Saccharomyces cerevisiae S288C: one gene and its partners. The main gene of each other region encodes a partner of the protein of the gene in region 3 in a complex. Each region holds a gene or a part of one and is shown on either strand. Other genes may lie near its edges.

Evidence for each region.
Region 1: PRP43 (region 3) and SPP382 share a complex: the UniProt entries of both Saccharomyces cerevisiae proteins name them as parts of the NTR complex.
Region 2: PRP43 (region 3) and NTR2 share a complex: the UniProt entries of both Saccharomyces cerevisiae proteins name them as parts of the NTR complex.

The regions. Positions count from the first base shown.
Region 1 is NC_001144.5:970,948-976,797, forward strand, and holds SPP382 (mRNA splicing protein SPP382), read left to right. Parts: upstream 1-2,447; coding exon 2,448-4,574; downstream 4,575-5,850. Other genes in the region: guanine nucleotide exchange factor DCK1, read left to right, coding at 1-748; protein kinase regulatory subunit ATG17, read right to left, coding at 970-2,223. UniProt on the Saccharomyces cerevisiae protein: Involved in pre-mRNA splicing and spliceosome disassembly. Promotes release of excised lariat intron from the spliceosome by acting as a receptor for PRP43.
Region 2 is NC_001143.9:480,895-485,246, reverse strand, and holds NTR2 (Ntr2p), read left to right. Parts: upstream 1-2,107; coding exon 2,108-3,076; downstream 3,077-4,352. Other genes in the region: DBP7 (putative ATP-dependent RNA helicase), read left to right, coding at 1-103; RQT4 (Rqt4p), read right to left, coding at 236-1,828; ALY1 (Aly1p), read right to left, coding at 3,266-4,352. UniProt on the Saccharomyces cerevisiae protein: Involved in pre-mRNA splicing and spliceosome disassembly. Promotes release of excised lariat intron from the spliceosome by acting as a receptor for PRP43.
Region 3 is NC_001139.9:280,521-286,587, reverse strand, and holds PRP43 (DEAH-box ATP-dependent RNA helicase PRP43), read left to right. Parts: upstream 1-2,650; coding exon 2,651-4,954; downstream 4,955-6,067. Other genes in the region: protein kinase COQ8, read right to left, coding at 641-2,146; GPG1 (Gpg1p), read left to right, coding at 5,431-5,811; mRNA-binding protein NAB2, read left to right, coding at 6,065-6,067. UniProt on the Saccharomyces cerevisiae protein: Pre-mRNA processing factor involved in disassembly of spliceosomes after the release of mature mRNA.

The sequences.
Region 1 (5,850 bases), on a different chromosome or scaffold from region 3:
GGTTACGAAGAGCAAACTTTCTCCACTTGAAAATGCAATTCGTTCCTTACAAGTTAAAATACAGGAGTTATATGGGCTTGAAAACATGTGCAATAAAACTCTGAAGGACCACGGTGATGTGAACGATTTATTTACCGAGCTTTCTACAAATATTACGGGAACAATATCAGCTCCAGTTAATGGAGGCATATCACAGTACAAGGCCTTTTTAGAACCCTCCACATCCAAGCAGTTCAGTACTGATGATTTAGGAAGATTGACGCTAGCTTTTGATGAGCTTGTTGCAGTATTAGGTCGCTGTCTAACGTTGCATGCAGAACTACTACCATCAAAGGATCTAAAACCATCACATGATCTTCTAGTGCGTCTTTTTGAGGAAAATTTCGCTGAGGAGATAGAAAGATATAGTCGTACTCTCAGTGAGGCCAATCGTAGCAGGAATAACATGATTACTGCTCGAATAATTTCGCACAAGAACCCCAATAAAAAGGCAAGCTTTTCTGGAAGGGATCATCACACCTCAGGGTCCAATCATAGCCAATTTGTATTAGAACATAGCGACTCATTTGGCCCAAACAGTTTACTTTTTGGAAAATATTTAACAAGAACGTTATCCCACTCGTCCACTACGAGCAGTTTGGATAAAAGTGGAATTGTTTCCGGCACTTCGAGCACCTTTTTGGCAGGGTCACAGCCAAACACCAACACAGATTCACAGCACAAGCATGATTACTCACATTCGGGATAATATGTCAGAAGTTGTTCACTATAAAATATACGCATATGTAATCATTTATTTATTCATTCATGACTTTTAGTTGAAAAGGGCACATTTTTCTTTGTCGTAAAAGTGAAGAAGACAGCGAATTTTTTCCTTTCTCCTTCAAGTATTGCTTTTTTGATAAAGTATTTTTCGAAATATTGATACAATTATTGAATCTTTGTACCGTATCCTTTTTTTCCTTTTTTCTAAGGATTCTTCACGTTGTAATTTAAAGTGTACAGGGAAGAAAAATCGTCAATTTTACCGGGCCAGATTGTCTCAGGAAGATAAGTTCCATTTTCCGCTATAAAATTCTGACGTTCTTCCTGGTCCTGAGCATCTAAATTCTGCAACTGCTTTTCACAATCTTTCAATATAGTTTTCATTCTGTTTGCCACATCCTTTCTCCTCTTTGCTTCTAGAACTAAGTTACCGTAGCTTTCTTCAAAATTATCATAAAATTCACAAAGTTCCTTAGTTGTTTGAATATCTTGTGTACAGGAATTTTTGAAGCTATCAATCAGATTGGAAATATCTTTAAAGATTAATAGATATTCCAAATTTCTATTGAAATCGTTTATTATTTCAGAAACTTCGCTGTGTAGTTCTGTCTTTTCCTTTATTTTTGCCTGCAAAAATTGACCCAAGTTAAGAATTGTTTTGTCCACGTCATCAATTACCTCATGCAGAGTTTTGAAAATGTTGTATAGTTCTTTGTCGTCGCCTTGTACCACCTTAAACAGCTCCTCACGTTCATCGTTATCAATTTTTTTATCTTGTAACAGCAATGTCTTATCAAAGTGCTGTGTCAATGAATTCATTATCTCTGCTAAATCTTTTTCAAGGTCCGTTAGTTCCCTGCTAAACTGCTCTGCAACATTTGTTTCCATCAGGTTATCTATACCAAATTTACTTTGGAATTTTTGAGTTACGTCCGTCAACTTGGTATCAATCAGTTCTTTGTTAACTTTTCTGACCATATTTTCGTATTGAAGCTTAATGTTTTCAATTTGACGCTCAATTACTGGCACTTCTTTCAGTTTGTCATTCAATAAGTTAACGTTGTCTCTCGAGATGTAATCTCCTAGTTTAGAGGGATCGGTATCATCTTTTTCTGATATGCTCAATTCATTTACTATACCATCCAACCTTTGTACTTTAGAAGTGATTTCATATTGCCAGTACTTCATCTCATCAACTAAGACCACTAAGACAGCTTGATTCCATTGTTTCTGGATTAGCTTTGTCCCAATGCCTTCCTTTAAAATAGTGTAAAGAAACTTTCCTTGCTGTCTCAAGCCAACTATTAGAAAATTGAGTTTTGAAATACTCAACTGCCAAGATGACAATTTTTTCTTAATATCTACAATCCTTAAATTAGCACTTGAACATAAAAGTTGAGCATCGGTCAGCGTTTTCCTGGCATTATTAACAAATTTTGTAACATCTGCTTCGTTCATAGGTGTTAAATACGTTGATAATATCCTCGCAGTATCGAATTTATCGTACGTTATGCGACTTTCAAATAATTATCAAGTTAGGGATATCTTGCAATTTTTAATACTGAGGCCTTAGAGCGCGCATCTAGTATTTACATTATGTCAAAACAATAACAAAAATCCAAAATTTCGAAATAGTACAACCGAGAGAGGTCGAAGAACTTAAGCCTTCAGTACGCCAAAACATGGAGGATTCGGACTCCAACACAGATAAAAAGTTCTTTTTCAAAAAAAGAAGAATCGATTCCTATAATTATAGCGATGAGGAAGATAATAATTCAAGCATGAATAGTGACATGACATACACTAATGATGCCTTGAAAACTAGTAGCGGCAATGCCCCAACGATCTCAAAATTAACGAAGACATATGGTATTGGTGCGAAGTTACTTTCGAGTATGGGATATGTTGCGGGAAAAGGCCTTGGGAAGGATGGTTCTGGTATAACTACACCAATAGAAACCCAAAGCCGACCTATGCACAATGCAGGTCTAGGAATGTTTTCAAATACCAACTCCAGTAACTATCACAGTGAAAATGAGGATTACTTGAGCTCTGAGGATGAGGTGGTTGAAGGTATAGAACAAGTCAAATTCAATAAAACCTCCACGGAGGTTTTAGGCGAAGCGTTGTTAAATGATAGTGGTGATATGACTATAGTGCGAACACTGAGAGAATTGAGGTTAGCAGGGGTACAATTACCAGAGAGTATCCTAAAAGAATTAGACCCTTTAAATGCAGTACCAAAGCCGAAAAAAGATGTTGTTGTGGAGATATTGCAAGAGCTGCTGGGTATTGAAAAAAGTTTGGAAGCTATTCGTCAGCGCACCTCTCCGTTAGAAGTGCAAGTCAAAGAATATTATGGACAAGAGAGGCTTCTTTCTGAATTGGAGGTTACTTTGAGGGACGAAAGCAAGCATGTTTCCCTGTATGATAAGATTGGTGCTATTTTAAAATTGTCCGACGACGAGCTCATAGATAGGCTAACGTCCTGCTTATTGAGAAAAGAATTACTAATAGAATTTGATTTGGATCATTTAGAAAAGCCAAACGATATACTTGATGAGTTAACGCAAATTATAGAACTACTCGCATATAGAATGGATACAACTTCGAAATTTTTGAACAGGACACAAACAACAATCTTTAAAGTTATATATCCCAAACTCAAAAAATTTTGGGAAGGGTTTGATATGACTAAATCAAAAATCGACAGCGCTATCACCCTATTACTGGATTTCCAACAAGTGCTAAGTTTTATCGGGTGTAAAGAGCATATCATGGAGGAATTCGTCTATCCAAAGCTATTACAGGAATTAGATAATTGGGAACTTCACGATGAAGTAGACCATGTTTCGCCAAGAATATGGGTCTTGGATTTTATGGTTTTAATTGACGATAAGATCAAAGACACAATTGTGGACAAGATTGAAGCAAAATTTTTTGCTTATTGTAAAAATTGGTACCATAGGGAATCATTTTGTATCACTAATTCTGATATTATATTTATCAAAGAACTTATCTGCGAACGAAGATATTACAAAATTTTATGTAAAGAGTTTCTTCCTAAATTCCTGGACGAGCTGTGGGAAAGACATAATGACCCCATCTACGAGTTAGAGGATTGGAAGGAAAAACAGGAATGGAAAGAAAAAGATTCTGGATTTTTCTATTTTATGAAAAAACTGAGAAGTTATACCCATTATTTTCATCCAAAACAGTATGAATTGATGATGCGGGGAACCTTTAATAATATAAACAAAATACTCTATCAATGGCATCTTTATAGTACAGTGGAAGACTTACACAAGTCAAAGTGGTGGCTTAATTGGCTGATGAATACGGTATTTGAGCACTCTTTACCAACAGAAATAGAACTATCGGAGATCAGAAAAAGCTATAATATATTCGCTATGTCTCATAGGTACCACCTTGATAAATCTACATTAGATGAAGATTTCGATTTGAGACAGGGTTTACGAAACTTAATGGAAACACAAGTGATCGACGATATTAGTCAAAGCGAACAAGAACCTACCTATACTGTACAAAATATTCCGCTTGGAAAAGTTAGCAGCTCTTTCAAGGATGTGGTAGAAGACTACTGCCTGGAAAAAGGGTACTTGATCAGCAAAATACCAAATAGGTACACTCAACTGCCATATGGAAGAGACCAAGATTGTATAGTTCCTTTATTTGAGATCCGAAACGGGAAGAAAAAAATGGAAGTTGCTTTGAAACATGATATTCTTTGGGTGGAGGATTCCAGTGGGACCTTTAAGCCAATTTATTTATGGGCCCTTGACCTCTAGAAAGTACCTATAAAAGAGGTGAGATAGGCACGATTTATATATTATTGTCGAAAAACAAAATTGATTAGATTACTAAATAAATAATAATTGCATTACCATTTTTAGACAATGGATTAATTTAAAGTGGAGTCTATTAATTCCCCTTATTTGATAGTTGTTGGTATTTTGCCCTTGAAATGTTTCCAAAATTTATTGTTTAAACTTTTATACTTCGCTAGACTCTCGTAGTTAGACTGTTAAGAGTTGTGGCAGAAGGAAACGAGTTTCGGATGGGATCAAAGGACCTTTTTTATATCAAGATCAAATGGAGCTGTTATTTTCCAAGAAAGACAGAAGAAAGCCCGAATGTGGCTAAGTAGTGAGCCTAATCAAGTAGTCAGCTTCACTTGATATTAGTTTATACGATTACTATTTTAATGGAGTTTTTAGCTCACTAAATAATTTAATGCAAAAAAAATAAACGACCCCAGTGAGGGTTGAACTCACGATCTTGCGATTAACAGTCGCACGCCTTAACCAACTTGGCCATGGAGTCTTTTATTTCCGATATCTGCTGAGTTAAAAATTATATAATATTATTGATAGCTTCTATCATTGACCTTCAATTACTTATGTTGGAATATCAAAAATGTGAGATTTTTTTTTTCAAATAGTTTTGAAGAATCAGCGAATAATTTGATACTTTTTGGGATTCTTGTTAGTAACGGCTATTGTTGGAGTTAAACTTCTTTAAATTTGTAGAGTATGTGGATTTTGATGTAATTGTTGGGATTCCATTGTGATTAAGGCTATAATATTAGGTATGTAGATATACTAGAAGTTCTCCTCGAGGATTTAGGAATCCATAAAAGGGAATCTGCAATTCTACACAATTCTATAAATATTATTATCATCATTTTATATGTTAATATTCATTGATCCTATTACATTATCAATCCTTGCGTTTCAGCTTCCACTAATTTAGATGACTATTTCTCATCATTTGCGTCATCTTCTAACACCGTATATGATAATATACTAGTAACGTAAATACTAGTTAGTAGATGATAGTTGATTTTTATTCCAACATACCACCCATAATGTAATAGATCTAATGAATCCATTTGTTAGTTAATAGTTTAAATGTTTTTATCGGAAGAGGTTTTGTCATCACATCAGCAATGTTCTTCTTGGTCTCGATGTAGTATACGTATAAATTATTACCTGATACTTCATCTCTAAGTCTCATTGCCTTTGTGCCAAAAAATCTGTTTCTAAATTTCTCTTCATTTATTTC
Region 2 (4,352 bases), on a different chromosome or scaffold from region 3:
TGGTAATAGTGAAAAGAAGCCAACTAAGGAAAACTCTAAAAATAAAATGTTTCGTATGGCTCGTATGGCAGAGAAGCAAATAGCAAGTGAGTTTAACTACTAAATAGACAAGAACAAGCATTAATTCATATAAAAAAAAATTGTATACTATGAAGACAAAGAAAATGATAAAATCTACAGAAAATGAATAACGGTTATATCCTCTATCATATATAATATAAACTTTTACCATTCATCAAAGTACAGCAAGAATATTCTGTTCTACTGATGCGTCTGCATTTTGGTCCACTTGTACTCTTGACTTTAAATCATAAGCTTGCATGTCGTGAGCCTTTTCTTCCGTTTTTCTATTCTGTTGTGCAGTATCTGAATTTTTTTTCACATACGTAGGCCTATCGAATTGTTTTTTATCACGTTCGTAATCCCATGCTTTGGACTGTAAATGCAAATTCTCCAAGGATTTCGTTGTATTTATTTCACTTTTCAGAGCGTGTATATGTTTAAGGTCGCTGATATCTTCTTCGTCACTTATATCACTGATGTCATCATCTGAACCTGCAATTACGTTCTCTGTATCCTTAGGGACTTCTGTCATAGTAACTTTACCGTTTGAACCTATATTCATGCTAACAACGTACTTCTCGCGCCTGCCATTCCGTTCCTTTTCTACTTTTTCCCACTTTCTCAAATTACGTTGTTGCTTCTTCAACGCAAGAGCTCTTTCTCTTGCGCTGCCCCATAAACCCACCTCCTGATTCATGTCAAAATCGCTGGCATTATCAATAATTTTTGTTCTTTCTGCCGAAGTGTCTTGGAAATATAAAAGTCTATCTAATCGTTCTTGTGCTGCTAACAACTCCGGGTTTTCCTCAGCTTTATGGTCATGCTCGCTCGCTTGTCTTTCCTTTGCTTCGCTCTCTTCTTTTTCCTCCTGCAATTTCAACACTTCATTACGCTTTCTTTCTCTTTCTCTTTTCCTTTCGATGAAATCAAATAATTTGTCCTGTTCAGCAAATAAATTTTTACCCATACCGGAAGTTATTTTGTAGGTTTTAGTCTTCTTCTTTGGGACATTAGCTCCATTTGACGCATTGGATAAGGACGATGATGAACCGTTTAGTTCGTTTTTTTCCTGATTTAAAATTTCTACCATTTGGGTTCTTTCGTTATCAGAAATCAACTGTTCATGGCAATGACCGCATTTACCTTTATTCAATCCCTCTATAACACAAACCACTTTACCACAGTGAAGACAGTTTGGCGCGATGTCGAAAACTGGATGCCTTGTACCTTGACAATTACAATTTTTAGAAGAACCGCTATCTCGAAGCTCTAGCATCTTGATTGCTTCGTCTATTTCTTGTAACGATTGTAATTTCCCCTTTGATCTGTGCTCTTTTTTCTCCTTTATGGGGTTTGATTGCGTAGATTGATTTGATGGTTGAACGGTAGGCCTCGTTGTCGAGCTTTTCTTCTCATCCTTTAATTTTTTTGGTTTTTCATCTCCCTTCTTATTGATATAGTTATTAGTGGGCTGTTTTGATTCATTTTTCCATGAAGTGGGGGCAGTATGTTCAAGATGCACATTTTTCGTTTTTTTTTCCTCTTTTTTATCATTCTGATTCAATAATTCATTGAACTTCATTACAAATTCAAACGATAGATCTTCATGACCTAGGAACTCCAAAAATTTTGAAGCAATTTGTTCTGGATCATCAGATGATGTACTCAGTACTTGTTCGCACAGCGCTTTTACATCAGACTCTTCCAAAGGCAATATTTGCGGAACTTGTTTGATTGCATAGTCAATAGCCTGCTTTCTTGTCATTATTAATTACTGCAAACCCAAGGTTAAATAATTAAGCCACTGTTTCTCGGACTACGTTCACTTTGCCATTATTTGCTGCTGCCAGGCTCTTTATGCCTCTTTCTTGCTGTATAATATTTCAATATTTGTCCGATACCCGGCAAGCGAAGATCATAAAGAATATCGAAATGAACCTCATAACTGAAAGCAATCATCATAAATTTGTGCTTTGAAGAAGCAATATAACTGGTCGAGTTACGTCAAGTTCTGCCTAGCAATGTTATAGCATTTGAACACATTATGGCGATCAAGAAAAGAAATAAAATTAGGTTACCAAGTGGTTCTCCTGAGGAGGTTGGAATTGATGGTTCTGCGCATAAGCCAATGCAGCAAATTAAGCCCCTAGTGTCGAACGATTCTGAAGATGATGACAACGACATTTGTGTATTACAACCAATAAAGTTTAAAAAAGTTCCTAAGCGCGACATTACCTTTGATGGCGAACAAGCAATAAAGGAGGATAATTCGCATTATGAAGATCTTTACCATTCAAAGAAAAATACCAATGCATCGACGCGAAACAAAGATGATTTGCTAATTCTCAATATGGAGGACTTGATGGAGGGGAATCATCATCTATTAAGTGATTCTTCAGAGGCTGGCAGTAGCTCCGAAGGTGAGCACATTAGTAGTATACCAACCCGAGGAGAAATTGCAAAACTGAAAGCACAGAAGTCATTATCTAGAAGGAAAATTAGTGAGAGTGATGTTACAACAGAAAGAGATTATGTAAAATTGTTGGACAGTGAGGATAAACGCGAAATTATGGAGACAATAAGATTAAATGGTGGTCTGAAACGTAACAATGAAAAGGAGATTACGAACTTCAGTGACGATGAAATGCAAGGCTTTCAAGACGAAATGCTAGCCCTCACGGATAATCAAATTGCTATTCAAAAGGATTCTAAAAGAAAGATTATAGAGAAGGCCATAAATGAAGTGCCCTACAGAACTAATGAAGAATGGGAAACCCAGCTTTTAAGCAAAGGAAATATAAACAAATCGAATGAGAAAATCATCACGCCCTTACCGGTACTTTTCCCAGACGATGATGAAAGTGGGAACAGCATTGAGAGAATAAACGAGATGGTTTCGAAGATCTGCTTGCAAAGGAAGAAGGTTGAGATGAGGTTGCAAGCGTTAGAAAAAACAAAAATTGACTTGGAAAAATCTAAAGCAAGCCTAATAAATAAGCTCATTGGTAACTGAACGTTAATCATGTTATTTTTTTAATCGCTGTACTATTAAAAAGGGATATCTTTACGACAAGTGATATGGATGTATAGATTGATGGTGTATATTTGTATACTATAAAATGTCCAATATATTGTACACTATTGAATCACAGGACACAAAGTAAAATGGTAGCAATTCTGTCGGAGAATGAAAATAATGTACTTATTTTCTCTTTTCGCGAAATGCTTTCTTAAAGTCGTCCAGTACACGGTTTTCACTAGCAACGTTAACCGAGTAGGCTGCTGGGTCAACATGGTTCTTGCTTACCTCCCAATCAAATTTGGAATCTGATGACATTCTTGGATCATAAAATGCTGTAATATCGACTGAAGAATCCACTGTATCTTCTGGATTATCAACTCTGTTATTACTATTGCTGTTTGATTGTATGACGTTATCATTAATTTTAAGTATTGGTAGTTTCTTATTGAAATTTAATGATTGGCTTTTGGGAAAGGCATCTTCGTCACTACTGCCTAGCATCTGGTTTATGTCATTGAAATGCTGATTGTTCTGTCTTATTGTACTAGGTAACACTGATGTTGCGTGTAGACTGGCACGATTTTTTTTTCTCCCATCAAGACTCATGTTTAAAGACTGCAAAATAGGAGTGTGTGAATTAACGTTCTCACTCGGAGCACTGGTTGACAGCTTGAAGTTGAAACCAGATGCTATATCGCCATCATTGTCATCTTCGTCGGATAAGTCATCAATTTGAGACCAACCATTGAATGAGTCCTCCTCAATGCTGGCCAATGTCTCTCTAGATTTGTTTAGTTTTAGTTCAGGAATTTTAGATGAACTTGTATCGTAGTATGGCAATTCAATCCCATCGGCCTTTAATACATCAAAATATGATGGAGGATCCACAGGAATAGCATGAGAATCGGCTGCGCCGCGCTTAGCTAGATCAAAATCAAAATCTGGAGGCGGGGAGTTTGATAATGGTTGGTAATTGAGAATTGGTGAGGTGATGGGCGATAATGGTAACGCCTGAGGAGAAGTTAATTCTCTTGGAATCTGATTGGGCTTATAAATGTTTGCGACCAGCTGTTTGGATGCGAAGACATTGCTACTTTGATCATTCTTCTTGGAGGTATTATCTGACTTGCTTTTCTTTACGCTTTCAGCTCTATTACGCACTACTGGAAGATCAGACGGTATTCTAATGTTCATCTTCTGCACGTTAGGTGAAAGAACGGGAGACGAAAGAACTTCTTTTGGGAAGAAAATATTGGAATCATGATGA
Region 3 (6,067 bases):
GCTGGCGTGTTTCATAAAGTAAATATTGGTAAAGAAGTTGCCTGCATACAGAGTATTTTCAAAGATACATATTCAATTTAGAACAAGAAATGCAGATTATATTCATCTCTCATGAATGATGTACAATTGTATTGTAACAAGGCTGGGACTTTACAGAGAAAAATAATTCTATAATTAGGAAGCGACCCAATTCAAAGACTAAAAAGTAATTTGAAATGGGGTAAAATGGAATAGAGAGGTTCTGTGGAATGTCATATTATGTAATGTTGTAAAGTTAATGGTGTATATTTTGAGAAGCTATTGGCAGAAGGATTAGCGTTGCTAAGAAAATGTTGGATCACTATCGCAGAGGGTTTAAAGAGAATGATTGGAAAAAAATATCTAATTCACTGAAGCAGAATGGGAACTACTATTTAAAAACATGACGTATATACTAGTAATCTTTCAGTCGATCTGGTTGGAAGTACTATAGCAGAACGAGGTACAAAAGAGTGCACATTTATCTTTCTGTTTTATCTTTTTTTTTTGTTCTTCGAGATTGTCTAACAAAACAAAATAAAAGTATACGGACTAAAAGTAAATAAAAAAATATCTTTCATAATATAAAGATATGCATATATACAAATAGCGGGGAAGTATTTTAAACTTTATAGGCAAAAATCTCTTTAAAAAGCTTTGCACAATGAACAGACGCACCCATTCTTGCACACAAAAGAAAAATGCCACTAAATTTTCTATGTAACGAGTATGTTTCCTCTGGTGGCGGACATAGTCTTTCATTCAACATTAACCCGATATTACCTCTAATCCTGTCTGAGACTGTTTGATCCTTGAAATCGAAAGATTTATCTACATCACCCCTAAAAGGTTCACCAAGTGTAAGTACACTATCGACGTGCGCGTCTTTCATGGACTGCGATTCTAAGCCTGTGAGATAGCCCAGTTGTACAGACATTTCGTACGCCCCTTTCCTATCTCTCAATGTGGCGTAAGTTAAAAGTTTTCTATATTTTAGAATAAAATCTTCTGCAAAAGGTCTGGAGGCACCGAAATCCAATAATTCAATTTTCTTTGTCCTACCGTTATAGAGGAAATTTGCCCAATTAGGATCCGTTTGCATATACTTGAAAGTGGCAATTTCTTCCAGACATAGTCTCATGATATTCTCCGAAATAAAATTTTTGGTTTCTTGTGATGCCTTGGGCAATTTCATTATTTCAGTTCCCTCCATACGTGTCATAGTTATAATATTATCGGTTGTATATTCAGGAAACACATGAGGAACCTCAAACGCTGGGTCATCCTTTAGCAACGCCTCAAACTTTTGTAGAGCTCTAGCCTCTCTGTTGTAATCACATTCCCATTTTAACTCAGTTCTAGCGTTGGCAATTGTCTTATCCAAAAATAATCCCTTCGGTAATAAACTTGAGGCTGTAAGTAACATTAGTAAACTATTCAAATCCGAATCAATGGATTCTTTAACCCCAGGATATTGAATTTTGACAACCACTCTTTGACCACTGGGCAACTCTGCCGCATGTACCTGTCCGATACTAGCAGCTGCCATAGGTATCTTGTCAAATTTGGAAAACTTTGTCTTCCAATTAGCACCTAATTCCTTGGCCATAACCTTTTCCAATTGCCTTTGAGGCATATGATTTGCACTATTCTGTACCCTTGATAAAATTTCGTATAATTCCTTTGGCAACACTTTCTCATCCTGAAAAGACAATAGTTGCCCTATTTTAAGGGCAACACCTCTCATTTTAGAAAATTTATTGGTAATTCTGTCAATATTCGAATCTGATAGAATCAAAGATTTCCAAGTGGGAGAATTGCCCTTTGCAACTTCCGATATGCCTTTTGCTGCGGCATTCATGCCCACCCCTGCTGCCAGTGAGCCATAATGGAACAATCTCGATATTCGTGAAGTTGGTACACTGGAACTTTTTAATGTATCCTTTTTTTCCTCCTCATGCTTCCTTTCTACGTTTTCTTCACCTTCTTTGGCAGATTTTGTAGTATATTTCTTACTCAACGATATTGAAGAAACAGAAGAAATTCTCCCGTTCTGTATAGTTCTTAAGAGACGGGATGAACAATACAATCTCCTTAAATTCCTCAATTTCACCATATTTGTAACCATATCGAACGATATCTTAGCCGAACAGGTCCCAATAAGGATGCCAAGGAAGCGTACTGAGTACAGTACCAGAAAGATCTTAACTAATTAAGATCATCTAAAAAAGTACTGGGTACTATTACAGATCTAAAGCTTTACAAATGAATATTACCCGGATCATAGTTTGCTGACTGATAGTATATAGTTATGGACAAATTTCATCATTTTCCAAACTAAGGTCGTTTAGTTTTACGCTCTGTATTCGTTTGCTGTTTCAACTGACAGTATCATTTCGGAGTCCCATAAATCTACCAGATTGCTTTTTATTGATCTAGCGATCTTATACACAAGTCCTTTTTTATTTCTTTTTCTTTTTTTTCGGTGCCTCTGAAAAATTTTCAAATGCGAGATGAGGTGAAAAGAAACTTATTCAATTGTAATATTTAACACGTTTACGGGGATGCGATTGAGTAACGATAGTATAACCTTATAAACGCGCATAGAAAGATTAGGACTGCAAGAATAATAATGGGTTCCAAAAGAAGATTCTCGTCCGAACACCCGGATCCAGTTGAGACCTCTATTCCTGAGCAGGCCGCCGAGATTGCGGAAGAATTATCCAAACAGCATCCTCTTCCATCCGAAGAGCCACTTGTCCATCATGATGCTGGTGAATTCAAGGGCTTGCAACGTCACCATACTTCAGCAGAAGAGGCCCAAAAACTTGAAGATGGAAAAATAAATCCATTTACCGGTAGGGAGTTTACACCAAAATATGTTGATATCCTGAAAATTAGAAGAGAATTGCCAGTACATGCCCAGAGAGATGAGTTTTTAAAACTTTATCAAAATAACCAGATTATGGTTTTTGTTGGTGAAACAGGTTCCGGTAAAACGACACAAATTCCTCAATTCGTTTTATTCGATGAGATGCCACACTTAGAGAACACTCAAGTTGCATGTACTCAACCTCGTCGTGTCGCAGCAATGTCTGTTGCACAGAGAGTTGCTGAGGAAATGGATGTCAAGTTGGGCGAAGAAGTTGGTTATTCTATCAGATTCGAAAATAAAACTTCTAATAAAACGATATTGAAGTATATGACTGATGGTATGTTGTTGAGAGAGGCAATGGAAGACCATGACTTGTCGCGTTATTCATGTATCATTCTGGATGAAGCGCACGAACGTACACTAGCTACTGATATTTTGATGGGTCTTTTGAAGCAAGTAGTCAAGAGGAGACCTGATTTGAAGATAATTATTATGTCTGCTACTCTGGATGCAGAGAAGTTCCAACGCTACTTCAACGATGCTCCATTACTTGCCGTTCCGGGCAGAACATATCCAGTTGAGCTATACTATACACCGGAATTTCAAAGGGACTATTTAGATTCTGCCATTCGTACTGTTTTGCAAATTCATGCCACTGAAGAGGCTGGCGATATTTTGTTATTTTTAACTGGTGAAGATGAAATTGAAGACGCTGTCAGAAAGATTTCCTTAGAAGGTGATCAATTGGTTAGAGAAGAGGGATGCGGACCTTTATCCGTATACCCACTGTATGGTTCATTACCACCGCATCAACAACAAAGAATATTCGAGCCTGCTCCAGAGTCACATAATGGTAGACCAGGCAGGAAAGTTGTTATCTCCACGAACATCGCTGAAACTTCTTTAACAATTGATGGTATTGTCTACGTCGTTGACCCAGGATTTTCAAAGCAAAAAGTTTACAATCCAAGAATTAGAGTTGAGTCTTTACTTGTTTCCCCTATCTCCAAGGCTTCTGCCCAACAAAGAGCTGGTCGTGCTGGTCGTACAAGGCCTGGTAAATGTTTCAGATTATACACTGAAGAGGCATTCCAAAAGGAACTGATAGAGCAAAGTTACCCAGAAATTTTACGTTCCAATTTATCCTCCACCGTTCTAGAACTAAAAAAATTAGGTATTGATGACTTGGTCCATTTCGATTTTATGGATCCACCGGCTCCGGAAACAATGATGAGAGCCCTTGAAGAACTAAATTATTTGGCATGTCTGGACGACGAAGGTAACTTAACACCCCTAGGTAGATTGGCATCCCAGTTTCCCTTGGATCCTATGCTAGCGGTGATGTTAATTGGGTCCTTTGAGTTCCAATGTTCTCAAGAAATACTAACTATAGTGGCCATGCTATCGGTTCCAAACGTGTTTATTCGCCCAACAAAGGACAAGAAGCGAGCAGATGATGCCAAGAATATCTTTGCTCATCCAGACGGTGATCATATCACCTTACTAAATGTATATCATGCGTTCAAATCGGATGAAGCTTATGAATATGGTATCCATAAGTGGTGCCGTGACCACTATCTAAATTACAGGTCCCTTTCCGCTGCTGATAATATCCGCTCCCAATTAGAAAGATTAATGAACCGTTACAACCTAGAATTAAACACTACAGACTATGAAAGCCCTAAATACTTTGACAACATCAGAAAGGCTCTTGCGTCTGGGTTTTTCATGCAAGTAGCAAAAAAAAGATCGGGAGCTAAAGGATACATCACAGTTAAAGATAACCAAGATGTTCTGATCCATCCTAGTACGGTTCTTGGCCACGACGCAGAATGGGTCATTTACAATGAATTTGTGCTCACATCGAAGAACTACATAAGAACTGTGACCTCGGTCAGGCCCGAATGGCTGATTGAAATAGCGCCTGCATACTACGACTTAAGCAATTTCCAAAAAGGTGATGTCAAATTATCTTTGGAAAGGATCAAGGAAAAAGTTGATAGATTAAACGAGTTGAAACAAGGTAAAAACAAAAAGAAGAGTAAGCACTCCAAGAAATAGACATTTTGTGTCGAAAAAAAAAAAAAAATAGATTTATATAAATTTATAGGACTATTTCATAGAGAGAAAATTCAACTAGAAATAGGTACACGTAACCTAAAGCTGCTTGTACTAAAATCATAGCGCCCTGTATCAAAAAGAAGCTTTTTTCTTTTGTTGGGTATGTCTATATAGAGCACATCCTATATTCCCTTCGAGGTGTTTTTACAAGAACAAATAAAGAAACAAACCGCGGTGTGAGGAAGTTCCCTTAAAAATGGCAAAGATTACCGTAAAGGTAAATTACTCCTTTAACGATGCTTAAAACGAGCATCTTACTCTTGCAACGAAATTAATCACTCAATTTCAACGAGGATGTTGGCTTCCCATCAAAGTAGTTTTGGGGTAAACCGCATATATCTGTATATTAAGAAAACTTATTTTCCACTATCTAATTTGAACTACAGAGAAGATAAGAAATCTTTTAAGTAGCAATCATGTTTTATCTAAGTGACATCGAGGAAGAAGCCTCGGCTGGGGCTGAACCAACTTATAATTTCTGGGAAGTTTTGTTATTCTCCAATACTCAAGAAAACCTCGTCACCGTTGTCGGAGAGTTGCACACACTTACCGATCGTGTGGTTCATTACAAAATTGAGCCTGAATCAAGGGAAGTTACTGCCACAACACTGCCATCTTTGTTAGCACTTTTGCTAGAAAAAAGGAACCAGGCGAGACGTTTATATAGGGATGTGCTTTCAATGAAAATGTCAGAACTGGACTGGGACATCGACGATTTGTTCACACAGTTACAAGAAGAGCTAACAAGAACTGATGACACTCTTTCTATGTATCCTAGGAGAAGGTTCTATCACTAGCTTGCTCAACGCGACCTTATACACAGAGTTTAATGTGAAGAGAACATTCATATACAATTATATAAACATTGTTGTATTCTCGTACATCGTTACACAAAATACGAAGCGGGGAAATAGTGATATTCGCTTCGCTGGTGGCAAATGGGAAAAATACAAAATTTTACACATCTTTCTTCCAAATACTTCCATAAAACATCTAAATATAGTGGTTTCTAATTATCTCTGATCATAAGGAAGTGGAAGTACATCAGAAATG